Lepisosteus oculatus: one gene and its partners. The protein of the gene in region 2 interacts with the protein of the main gene of each other region in a pairwise test. Links are inferred from orthologs where the notes say so. Each region holds a gene or a part of one and is shown on either strand. Other genes may lie near its edges.

Region 1 (3,755 bases), on a different chromosome or scaffold from region 2:
TGTTGCCTCGTTGTCTTTCCAGGCTCCACCACATAAACATTAGCAGCTCAGAGTGGAAACTTGTGAATGACTGGGCTAAATTCCGGACACTGTCTGCAATGTTGGCACAAGTCAATAATATGCTTGGATAAAAGGTTAAATGCGTCATTCACCCTCTGCTTCCTGGGAGCTGGCTGTATCCCCTCCAAACACACACAGCTCATTTTAACGCTTTTAACAGCTGCTTGAGTGCGCAGTTCCCCGTGTTGACGAAGTTCCCAAGGGGCCCTGATGTCCGGACACAGGGAATCTGGGATCGAATTTCCAGCGGACACACTTCCACTGCAGACAGACTCTCGGAAATGAAGTACCCACATAAAGCTGCTTGCCAGATGAGGCGATGGGATGGGAAAAGTGGATTAGAGCCCCAACGGCGAAAAGAATGACATTAAGGAGCTGGACGAAATGGTATCACGGACAAAAACCTGCCAGCTGTTAGCCGATTACAGCTGCAAGCTCGGAAACGGACTGTCTGAATGAAAGCCAAGTGTTTTAGTAACGTGCCTGGCATTCCTGCAGCAAAGCAGAATACAATATTAACATTTAAAAATGTTTATTGAAAAGGTTTGGATGCAGTGCCTTCAAACAATGCAGAGTGCCATCAGGCTGATCGTCCGGAAAACAAAACTGCAGGCCACAAAAACAAAACGACACTTTCAAAGGGTCAAATTCTCAAAGGGCTGAGAGGTAAAAGCAAAGCAAGAAAAGAGTTACAGTATCCTACCATTAGCTTTGCTACCCCACTGTCTTACTTCAATCTAACAGAACACATACAAGATCGTCAAAATAAGAGTTTATAACGTGAAAAAAATGCAGTGAAAACTGTCGTATGAGAAATCCTTTTTTTAGATGGCTTTTGGATGAAAACCATACTGAAAACACACCACAACGAATAGGTATTCGTTTGCTGCGTGAAGGCATCATGTGCAATAAATGATTCAAGAGCAGGATAGCTAGTCAGGTGCAGCATTTTGTTTGTTTTACTCTTTTACTATTTGAAAGCGTATGTGAAAAAGTATGTCAATGGAATGAAATCACTAGTTTAATCGATACATAAAAACAGGAAAATGCGATTTCCCATTAAACAAAAAATCCTTTAAGCTTACATTCATTTTTTAGCAGAGGAAGAAGAAATAAAATTAGCTCAATTTCCTTCTAGTGGAAACAGCCAAGGGTCTACAGTCATATATCGTGATCCGTATGCGGTAAAAATAAAGTTTTAGACTAAACAGGACTGAAACTGAGTCTTTAAATGAATCAAGAATAGTAGATCTTAATACGTAAATCACGGTTTTGTAGGTAAAAACGAACACGTTTGTAAATTCCTACTTTGTTTAAGGTTCCAGTAATGTAATTTCTAATGTTTCACAGCCATAGAAATGACACTGAACATAACAGGCACATCCCCGGCTGTGGTCCTTAGTCCACCTCAGCCCAAAACTGCTTCTCCGACGAGATGGAGACTGGCACCGAAGCAGTTAAACTAAAGTCTACCAACCCCCGCAGCGACAAAATAAAAGGAAACCAAAAATATGTGTTTTTTGTTTAATTCAAACGATCTACACCTAGTTGCAAGCCCCTGATTCAACCAAGGAAGATACATTTTAGCTCCCTTCTCCCCTGAACAATACACAACAATGTCTCAGATACAAAATGAAACGGGATCACAAAATGTCTTGCCTCGTGTTTTCGTGGTCTGTAGGCCGGAGAACAGTGCGTCAGAACCAAAACAACTTTTTACGACTCATATTCGCAAAATTGATCATTAGCACTTCCCATCAAATGAGTAAAATGTAAAATACGCAATGCGTTTTAATAAAGAAAGCGGAAACGTCCATTAACAGGCCAGTCATAAAGAGACATGGCGCTGTGAAAACAGTGTTGCAGCATCTAACATCTTATTAAAACTTTTAAAGCCTCATGTACATAGTACCCGCGTATGTGTACAAATACACGTGAAAAGAAATACATTTAAAATGCACATTAAGTTTCAATACTCAATAAAACTAAAGAGCTTCCTGTAAAGCTTAGAAGTTCCGATGTTATTTTAAATATGTATTTCAAGACTTTCGTTAAAAACGCGAACATTACCTGCTCCTCTTCTGCTGTTAAATGAGCTGCCATTCCTTTCGTTGATGCAATTTCGAAACTCTTCCTTGTTTTTGTATACGACTACAGGTTCTTTGAATTGGGTTAATCAACAGTCGTCCCACTCTTTGTCGGAAAAGAAAATAACTCGCTACTTTAACCCGAAACAACAATGTATATCAACATATTACGCATCGCTACAAAAATAGGGTGTAGATGTTAAGCTTATTTCCTCCAGAGCGTAAATAAAAGGCAACAGACGTTTAAATAGTTCCTGCAAATAAAAAGTGTTTTTATATATATTTAAAAACGAGCTCAGTTTGGTCCTCCGAAAAAATACTCCACTCCGTAGAAAACTAGAAGCCTACGAATTCATGCTGCTTCTCGATGGCGTATCGCAAATAAAATAAAAGTCCACATTTCCCCGTTAACCTTCATCACTCTGCGATTATTTTGAAGCATTCCTGAGTTTGCTGCCTTGCAAGCTTGAATCCATCGGCAGTTTATTTCTTCAGAAGGGAAGACCTCAGTCACAGAACTCCGACTCCCCTACTGGTTACACTAAACACAACAACTTTCGAGCTATAAAACTCGACTGCCAAGCGCTCTCTCCTTCATTCATAAAAATGCTTGGGCCCATCGCGCAGGCGATATCCCTGTTATCCAACGCCGGTAGCTCAAACCTACTTCGCAGTTAATTGCAACTCCCCTTGATATTCCCTCATTGGCCAGAAAAGGCAAACGTGTTTAATAAGAAACATACATTATGTTTGTACTGATAACCGTGTACACATACAGAACTGGATTTCTCCCAGATGAACCACAACACCTAAACGACTTTTGGTACAAATACCATTATCCTTTATGTACTGTTCCCCCTAGTCGCACAAGGCCAGACTAAATGAAAAATGGATTTCTAAGTGTGCGTCCGCACCATTTTGTACTTAGAGATACAACCCACGTGGACATTTCAATATGGAAATTCGTCTTTACATTAATAATTTATAACAAGACTCTTATTGTAGATGTGGTTCAAAATCTCGGTTTTATTCGATTATGTAATTTTCAACCGCAAATGCTAAACGTCAAATGTAAAGCTACCTGAAATCATCATTGCCAGACAATGTAAGACAAAAGGAGCATTTTAAAGAAACCCAGATTATGAATGTATATGTTTTCATTCCAGGTTAAATCTCGTTATCGTATTTAAAATCTCAATTTTCTATTTCTATTGTCCTAGTTTGACAGCCTGCTGATTAAGTAAAGGCGTTGTCCCGTTACAGATGAACACAGCTGATCTTTGATTGGTGTGCATGGAGTGCAAATTACAGATAAACTACTATTAATACTAGGTGCAGCTTTTGAGAGACAATTATTAACAAGTAAAGTGGAAAATAAAAATTACGTTTTTTTAAAAAAAGAAGGTTTATTTTGTCACAACCCAGCGGTAATTGGCAACAACAATAATTTAATAAGGATTTAGCTCACAATTTACGTCTTTATTCGTACAGTGTTAGCGCTCAATTCACATGTTAATTTCGTTTCAGAAAATATCCTGTTCTGGGATTCTATGATTCCGAGGACCTAAAAGAAAAATGAAAAGGACCGTGGTTAAATGAGAAGTTGTT
Region 2 (3,755 bases):
AAATTAACATTATTAAAAAGAATATGTATTTTTTAAATTCCTTTGGTAATGGACTGCAATATTCTCATTTTTTGTATATTTGTAGTATAATGTACTGGTGTCCATAGGATGATATCTCTTGAAAATTCATTTGTAACTTAACTGTGGTTCTCTATACACTTCAAGCCAGTCACGTCCGTGTTCTTGCCATAATATTATTTTTTTAACTCAAAAGAATATCTATAAAATACTTCAAGAAGGTAGGTGCGTCAGCATGCGTAGTCTGCAAAGAAACACGTAAAGGTTTGTGGTGAAAAGGTTCCATGCTGAAAACAGAAGACAATAAACACAATGCCAATTATCAGCAAAATAAGAAACAACAAGCCAAAAGAAAAACACACTCGAAGAAGGCACCCCAGCCAAAACATTGTTTCCTCTCATCTTTTCAGCGTGGAATAAATCTTCAGGTAGGTAGCTGCGTCAGCATGCGTAGGCTGAAAAAGAACAAGTAATAGGTTTATTCCATGCTGAAAAAAAAAGAAAAAGAGAAAGAAGAAGAAAGAAAACACTTTGTGTTTTTTCTTCTTTTTTCCCAGCATGGAATAAACCTATTACTTGTTCCTTTGGAATAAATCTTTACTTGTTCCTCATCTATAAAATGTGCGTGCTTCTCTATAAACGTCACTGATACTATTACAAGTGAGCAACAAGTCGTAATTCATTTGTTTACCCCGGTTTTGATGGCTAAACATACGTACTTCGGCTACTCCAGGATTATTTATGACAGTCTATACCCGCTCTTCACGTACTCCAGGTCTCCTTCAAAGAGACGCGGTGTCGCTGCTCCGAACGGACAGAATGGGCGTGGCCGCGCACCTGTTGGGCTGCGAGGACACGTGACTCGGCAGGAATTTGATTTGGATCTTGACCCTGTTGAACAGAAACCTCTGAATTAAGAAAAGGATGTCTGTACCCGCAAATTCGCCGGCTACGTCCTTCCCAGCCGCTACAATTTCTTTGCCTACGGGACCTGAGGTGCTGAGAACGTACTCGGGGGCTCTCGTCTGCTTAGAAATAGTAAGTGTGTACAAACTCTGAACACCTTTCCTTACAAACGTTAGCCACTCGCCGTGGTTCGCTAGTACATTCGAGTGTGTGTTTTCATATTCCAGACAAGAAGCACCGAGTGAAACGATCTCGTCTCTGCTTCTTCTTAATATTGGAAGTACCGATGAGGCATTTGGCTTTTTTGCTTTTGATAGCAGCGGCGCAAGAACTCGCAAGAAACGTGGTGCTTTCTGTTAAGTTCATGAGGTGATGACAGCGCTCCGACATTACATGTAAAATGAAGATTTCGAGAACCCAGCTAAGAGGATTAGCCCTGCCACTCCCACATTTAAAATAACACGGAGGTCTGGAAAACTTGCCGTACAATTGAATGTGCACGGCTGTGGAAGATCCTCTCCGGTGACATTTGGTGTTTTTCCGGTGGATGGTATACTTTTAATATTTACCGAAGTGTGTACAACATAATGTATTATAACTTATTCAGCTTTGTTATTAAATACCTAAACAACTCATCTGAAGCTGTTGTTTAAGAAGGTATTGTTGCAGGATAGGCTGGGCAGTACTAAATGCAAGATTTACCTGGTTCTGCGTGGTACAATAATTAACATTTCAACGGTAAGAACTGACCTAATTACAAGCTTGCGTTGGTGTAACACTGTAAAACCACCACACTTCATAATGACGAAAGCAATGAGAACTTTTTACTAATGCTTGGTGTAAGAACGACAAAGTCACTTGAAGACCTTATAAAAAATACCGGGGTCTTAAACTTAACATTCTTCTAATACTTATTGGACACATTGTAAACATTACTCACAAAGCCTACAGTCTAGGACTCCAGATCAAAATGGAGAAAAGTATCTTATGTATTTCTTTGTACACAGGTGATGTATGAGTGCACAATGTCTGAAAGAGACATTTAAAAGTGAAAATTCTATTAGCTCTAGTTGGTTTTTTTTGCCTGTTAATATTTGAAAATGAAAATAGTGAAAAAGCAGCTGGTGAAATATCCAAAAGGATGATTTTTATTTTTTTCCTAATGACAAAGAAAGCTATTTATAGTAGTACATGTTAAAAGAAGTTTTCTTTTCTCATGCAGGTCTTCGGAGGTCTGGTATGGATTCTTGTGGCCTCTTCCAATGTCCCTGTGCCTCTGTTACAAGGCTGGGTTATGTTTGTGTCCGTAACCATGTTTACCTTCTCCACTGCATACCTCCTTGTCTTTCTCCTGGGCTTTGTTGACAGGATCAACACTGACTGGAATTTCCTGGTAAGAAGTTTTACATTTATTTCTTTGGTGAACTGAAAATGGCTTGCAGGCACCAAACAGCAAAGAATCCCAGTTGCATTCTTTGCAGAAGAAAAAAAAAGCACAACAATATTCAGTGTTTTGCGATTCTGTCGCCCATGTGACAATAAGGAAGTAATCAGTGACCCTTAGGAGAGCAGATGACAGTATCTACTTTTTGTTGGACATTTTTAGTCCCCTCCTTAAGTTATGCTTATTTAAAATGATGTGCTGCCATTTAGTGTTGACATGTAACAATTATTACAGCAAAAAGGTTTTAAAAAATTGTTTACTTGGGTAAATATAAAGAGAGGACAATGGTGAAGTATACAGGATTCATGGTACAGTTCTGATTTAGAAGGCTTTCCAGAAGCAATTACTGATAGTATGTAAGGGATAGTATGGCAAATACGTATGAATCAGTTCCATAAGTAAAATGCTTTTCCCTGATCAATGAGATCAGGCGATGGTAATTATCAGTTATTATGATATCATACTCAGTTTTTAGGTACCATTTGTTAGTATGTTCTGTTGTTGACACAGAACTATAGAACATTCTGTCATTTCCAAAGGTTAAGAACCATGAACCTCTTTGAAGGCAACACCATGTTTTACTTATTTTCTATAAGAAGTTTCAGAACACTGCATTTACTTTTATATAATAATATTTACTTCTTCTAACACTTTAGATAAAACATACAGGTATAGTATACCAGCTATGACCCCTGAGACTTGAGACTTAGCTGAAAATGGAGCTAAAAACATGCTTTGATTTCCACTGGCTGTCTTCAGTATGCGCTTAAACATGTTGATGTGGAATTTTAGCCCATCCTTACTGTGACAAAAATCCTTGACAAAAATCAAAAGTTTTATTGCGTTTGTTTTAATTATAAGTTGTAGCGGACACTGAATTTAATCTCTGTCTGTGACTCTGGGCACCTGCCCAGGGAGGTGTAAGACACTTGAGTGCTGGGGTGTGTCATTATAACAGTCTCCTCTCCCCCAAGGCAACCTGTTTTATAAACTGTTCATCGCTCTTCCTTGGGCAGTAATCCTATGTAAATGGGTTTATCACTCATGAGTTTTTTATCCATGTAAAAACCCCATGAAAAAAAAAACTTCTTACAAATGTTTTGGGAATTCAAAGTGATGTACAGTATAGTACCAGACATGCCAATGAAAAAGGAGACCTTCTTTGTCCTGGTGGCATTCGGCTTGTTGTGCACTAAGGAAATAAGAAAATGAAACTTTCTTAGTTGCCATTAGTATACTCTTAAGATTATTAATTCAGTATTATAATTTTAGCATCATTTGCTGAGTGTTCAATAAGCTTAAAATAGGTATCATTGATAGATTATAATTTTGTGAGCTACTGTGTATAAATGTTCTGTACAAGCTAAATCTTGTTTAATGGGTCCAA
Region 3 (3,755 bases), on a different chromosome or scaffold from region 2:
GCTTTGCATGCTGTAGATAACTGCATGACATTGATTCCAACTTTTTTCTTGTACCTCTCTTAACAATATATGTAACTAGAATAATTTACATACATTATATATGATATGATGTCACTTTACACAGCCATTGTGTAGTTTATATTAACAGCACAGCAATTGCTCTGATTGTGGATTTCAGAAGAAAATTAAAAATGCTACAGGACACCTTGAATATATCATTGTACAGTTAACTCCGCCTACACCTATATCATTTAAATTTAAAAATATTCTCTAGCTTTTAAATCTATTAATTGTATTAAAATGGGTATTAATCCAATAGGTTTCTAATGCTTTTGCTTAATGTGCTGCAGATCATGTCATGATGTCATGAAAGGTGCTACTGTATATACACAAAAGATTATAAATACAATGTTATCCAAGTCACCTTTTATAGAGAGATCACTAAATAATTTACAACTGTATTAAAAATATAACATTCAGAATTCTGTTAAAGAACTCAATTGCATATGCTTTCTTCTTCAGATTGTGCAACATAGACGTAATTGGATGGTCGTCTTCTTAAGAGATATTAAATCTGCCTGGACGTGTCACAGTGAGAGAGTGGGATGACAAAAAAACGAAGTCAAGAAAAGAAAATCAATTGAAACATCCTGGGCATCACAGCCTGAAGCTCAAAAGCCTCAAAAGGTGGGATTGACTAGGCATCTATGCTGTCGGGTTGCATGTCTTCCTAGCGGCATGAAAATCAAATAAGAGTAGAAATACTCACTCCTGGGTCTCCAGGTACAGGGTGACATGGGGATTCGCTCTGCCTTATTGATCAAAATGACAGCTTGATTTAAAGCTTTGATGTCCCATCTGATTATCTGAAAGCCTGCAGAGCTGTGATTGCCCAGGAACAGAAGCAAGAGGGATTTCATCGCCAGAGTTTTCCATATCAAACTCTTCTGAACCCACAAGCGGCTCATCCCCTGATATTGGTCTCTCATTCCAGAGTGTTGACGGGTCCCAGAAATCCCGGGTGGTGTTGTGTGGTGGTGCTGACTTTGTCCGGCAGTGTCCGGTCATACTATACCACCAACCTAGCTGAGGACGCCGGCACTGCAGGAGCAGGTTGGCCCAGCAGGGGGCACCTCTAACAATAAAACTCAGAAGGCATTTCTGTGATTGACTGCGCACCTACAGTATATGCTTGGTTAATATCAGGGCTACCTTCCTGTGGGCAATGCAGCACTGCTACTTTCAGTTATCTGATTGACGGTTAATATCCGTCATATTCAAGGAATTACTCTACTACTTACAGTACACGTTTGGGAGCATGAGGACTTGGGGATAGTGAAGAATAAGAGAATAAAGAAACAGAAGGGGTAGTTGAGCATTCTATAAAAATTAAATTAAAAAAATGTAATTATTTGAGACATACTACTTCTAATTAACACGATTGTTGTGTTTAGCGAGTTGTATAGATAAAGGGTTTTTATACTTTTCATGCAACAGAATCTGGAAAATATTCAACTATTTCTCCTTAGATGTATTCCTGATTTCCCAGTAGATTTCACAAAGACTAGTCTGTTAAAAACAAACCCCTTCCAACATTTGCTATGTAAATGACTTTGGTTTGATCTTTTTTAATCAAGCATGTCACTCTTGCATCACATATCCAGCCTGTATTATGTTAGATGGATTAAAAGCAGCTTCATACAAATTATTTCAGATATCTTTACAAATATCACATAGTTTGCATGTAAATACTAATTAAGAAATTTTAAATCGGACAGCTTCACGATCATTTTCTTTCATGTTTTCCAAACAATATTGGATTCTTGAAATGGAGAAAGAGTTAAATATCTTTATGTTCATCCAGATCTTTCCTTTGTATAATGTTTTTTTAATAAAGGTTTTCATTGAAGATTCCCTTACACCATCACAGCCCCATGTGGGGCTCCAGATAATCTGATACTAGCAAATAAAAAACGTTGCTTGTGAATTAAGGCAGATGAAAAACAGGGCCTGTGAAGGTTTTTAAATTGTTTTTTTTCAATAATCCAGAAATGTCACATCTCTCAAGCAATTTATTGTGCAATATTTTTTTTATTTCAGTGCTGTACATAGCAATCTCCTCCTGCCAAACTTATATCCCCAGAACAACAGCTTTAACCTAAATGCCTCCTAACAATTTAGAAGTGTTTAGCTCTTTGCTTATAAAAAGAAACCACTTAACGAGGAATTGTGTATATCCTGTATTCCACTTGATAAACTGAGCTGTGCTTTACGAACATTTTGACAAAGTTGCCCGTCACTTCAATATTTATAAAACCAGTAAAAATAAGAGACACTGGATTCAAAACTAAAATTTGTATTGTTGAATTTCAGAATCTCCTGTTTAGCCAGAGGAGAAGCATGGCATTACAGAGGGTATTCTGATAAGGTCTTTACTTTGATACATATCCAGTGTTTAGATTTCCCATTTAAAGCAGAACTTCAGGGGTTAATTAATTCACCTGATGGTGTCCTGATGCCATCGCAGATCGTGGAACACTGACGCCATGCCAGTCTTGCCCATTATGGACTAGTATGTAACACATGAGCTCAGAAATCTGGGTGTAAGACTGCAATACAGCTCCCCTGATCATACCGGCAGCACATCCAGATTAAAGAATTCAAATTAAAAATAACTCCACGGTGCTGAACAGAATGTGCAGTTTAAAGCCCACAGCTGATCGCCATGCAGATGATAAATAAAGTCTCCTACCTGTTGTGATGTGGTTTAGGCTGGTTTCTTTGTGCTCGTGTCTCCTGTTCTCTCGTCCTCGGCCTCTGTGTGCGAGGAACAGCCTACCCTGGGAGAACGCGCCTGGGTGGCTTGTTCTGAGAGGCAATAAACAGAAAGCACGTGCGTCTGTGGTGATGCGGCAGGGGAACTGACGAGTGTGCAGACTCCCCCTGCTCTGTGAGGCTGGAGATGAGAGGGAGAGAGAGGGAGGGAGGGGAGAGAGAGAGAGGTGGCTACTTCCACGAAGAGACCTAGACTGCGACAGGCAGCTCTCTGGCACCAGTCTCAAACGAATCAGGGAGATGAAAGCAGAGCAAAAAAAAATAACACCCACACAGGCACTTAGGAGTGTTTTCATTATAAAATGGTTTAGGTGAAAATTTTTGTGCATGTCTAACACCCCCCCCCAGAGTTAATTATAAATTAGCCTGTCTTTCACATTTGCTGCTACAATACTGTACCTCATTCTCCCCTCGAGTTCTCCATCTGAGATCATGTTTCTCTGTGATTTCTACTAAAAGCTCATTTTTCTGCCCTCGTGCTGTATATCTCACTAGATTGTTAATTGTGAAACAGCAGTTTCGTGCTGGCGATAGTCTCCTTGCTTTTAAACTCCTATTGGTATTGTTGCATGTTATGTAACATGCATTTGAAACTAGAATTGAGACTTGTTAGGCCTCAGGCCCTTCTGGGGCATGCTAATCTTGCAGCAGCATCTTTATGTTGATATATCTCCGTCTATGACACACTGCTACCAAGTTTTAAACAACAAGGAACCTGAACACCTAAAATATTTACAGCAATTTTTTTTTTGCTTGAGAAATAAGACACTTATAATCATAATAATGAAGTCTACATGAAGTCAGCATTTTTGTGACTTTTCATTGTACCTGAAAAAAAAACATTAATCTATGTTGGTCATTCCACAACTCTGGAGTTCTGGAGGCATTTTTTTAAAACACACAGTACAGAGGGATTGATC

Evidence for each region.
Region 1: the proteins of mal2 (region 2) and ptpn9a interact in binary tests that used the Homo sapiens proteins (3 or more experiments, as listed by UniProt). The two-hybrid records come from large-scale screens. The link is inferred for Lepisosteus oculatus from reciprocal best matches to the Homo sapiens genes MAL2 and PTPN9.
Region 3: the proteins of mal2 (region 2) and ndrg4 interact in binary tests that used the Homo sapiens proteins (3 or more experiments, as listed by UniProt). The two-hybrid records come from large-scale screens. The link is inferred for Lepisosteus oculatus from reciprocal best matches to the Homo sapiens genes MAL2 and NDRG4.

Annotation. Positions count from the first base shown.
Region 1 is NC_090700.1:60,676,221-60,679,975, forward strand, and holds the start of ptpn9a (tyrosine-protein phosphatase non-receptor type 9), read right to left. Parts: upstream 2,793-3,755; 5' UTR 2,164-2,792; coding exon 2,131-2,163; intron 1-2,130. UniProt on the Homo sapiens protein: Protein-tyrosine phosphatase that could participate in the transfer of hydrophobic ligands or in functions of the Golgi apparatus.
Region 2 is NC_090705.1:11,455,233-11,458,987, reverse strand, and holds the start of mal2 (protein MAL2), read left to right. Parts: upstream 1-805; 5' UTR 806-942; coding exon 943-1,056; intron 1,057-2,146; coding exon 2,147-2,317; intron 2,318-3,755. UniProt on the Homo sapiens protein: Member of the machinery of polarized transport. Required for the indirect transcytotic route at the step of the egress of the transcytosing cargo from perinuclear endosomes in order for it to travel to the apical surface via a raft-dependent pathway.
Region 3 is NC_090715.1:12,051,304-12,055,058, forward strand, and holds the start of ndrg4 (protein NDRG4), read right to left. Parts: upstream 2,982-3,755; 5' UTR 2,753-2,981; intron 1-2,752. UniProt on the Homo sapiens protein: Contributes to the maintenance of intracerebral BDNF levels within the normal range, which is necessary for the preservation of spatial learning and the resistance to neuronal cell death caused by ischemic stress.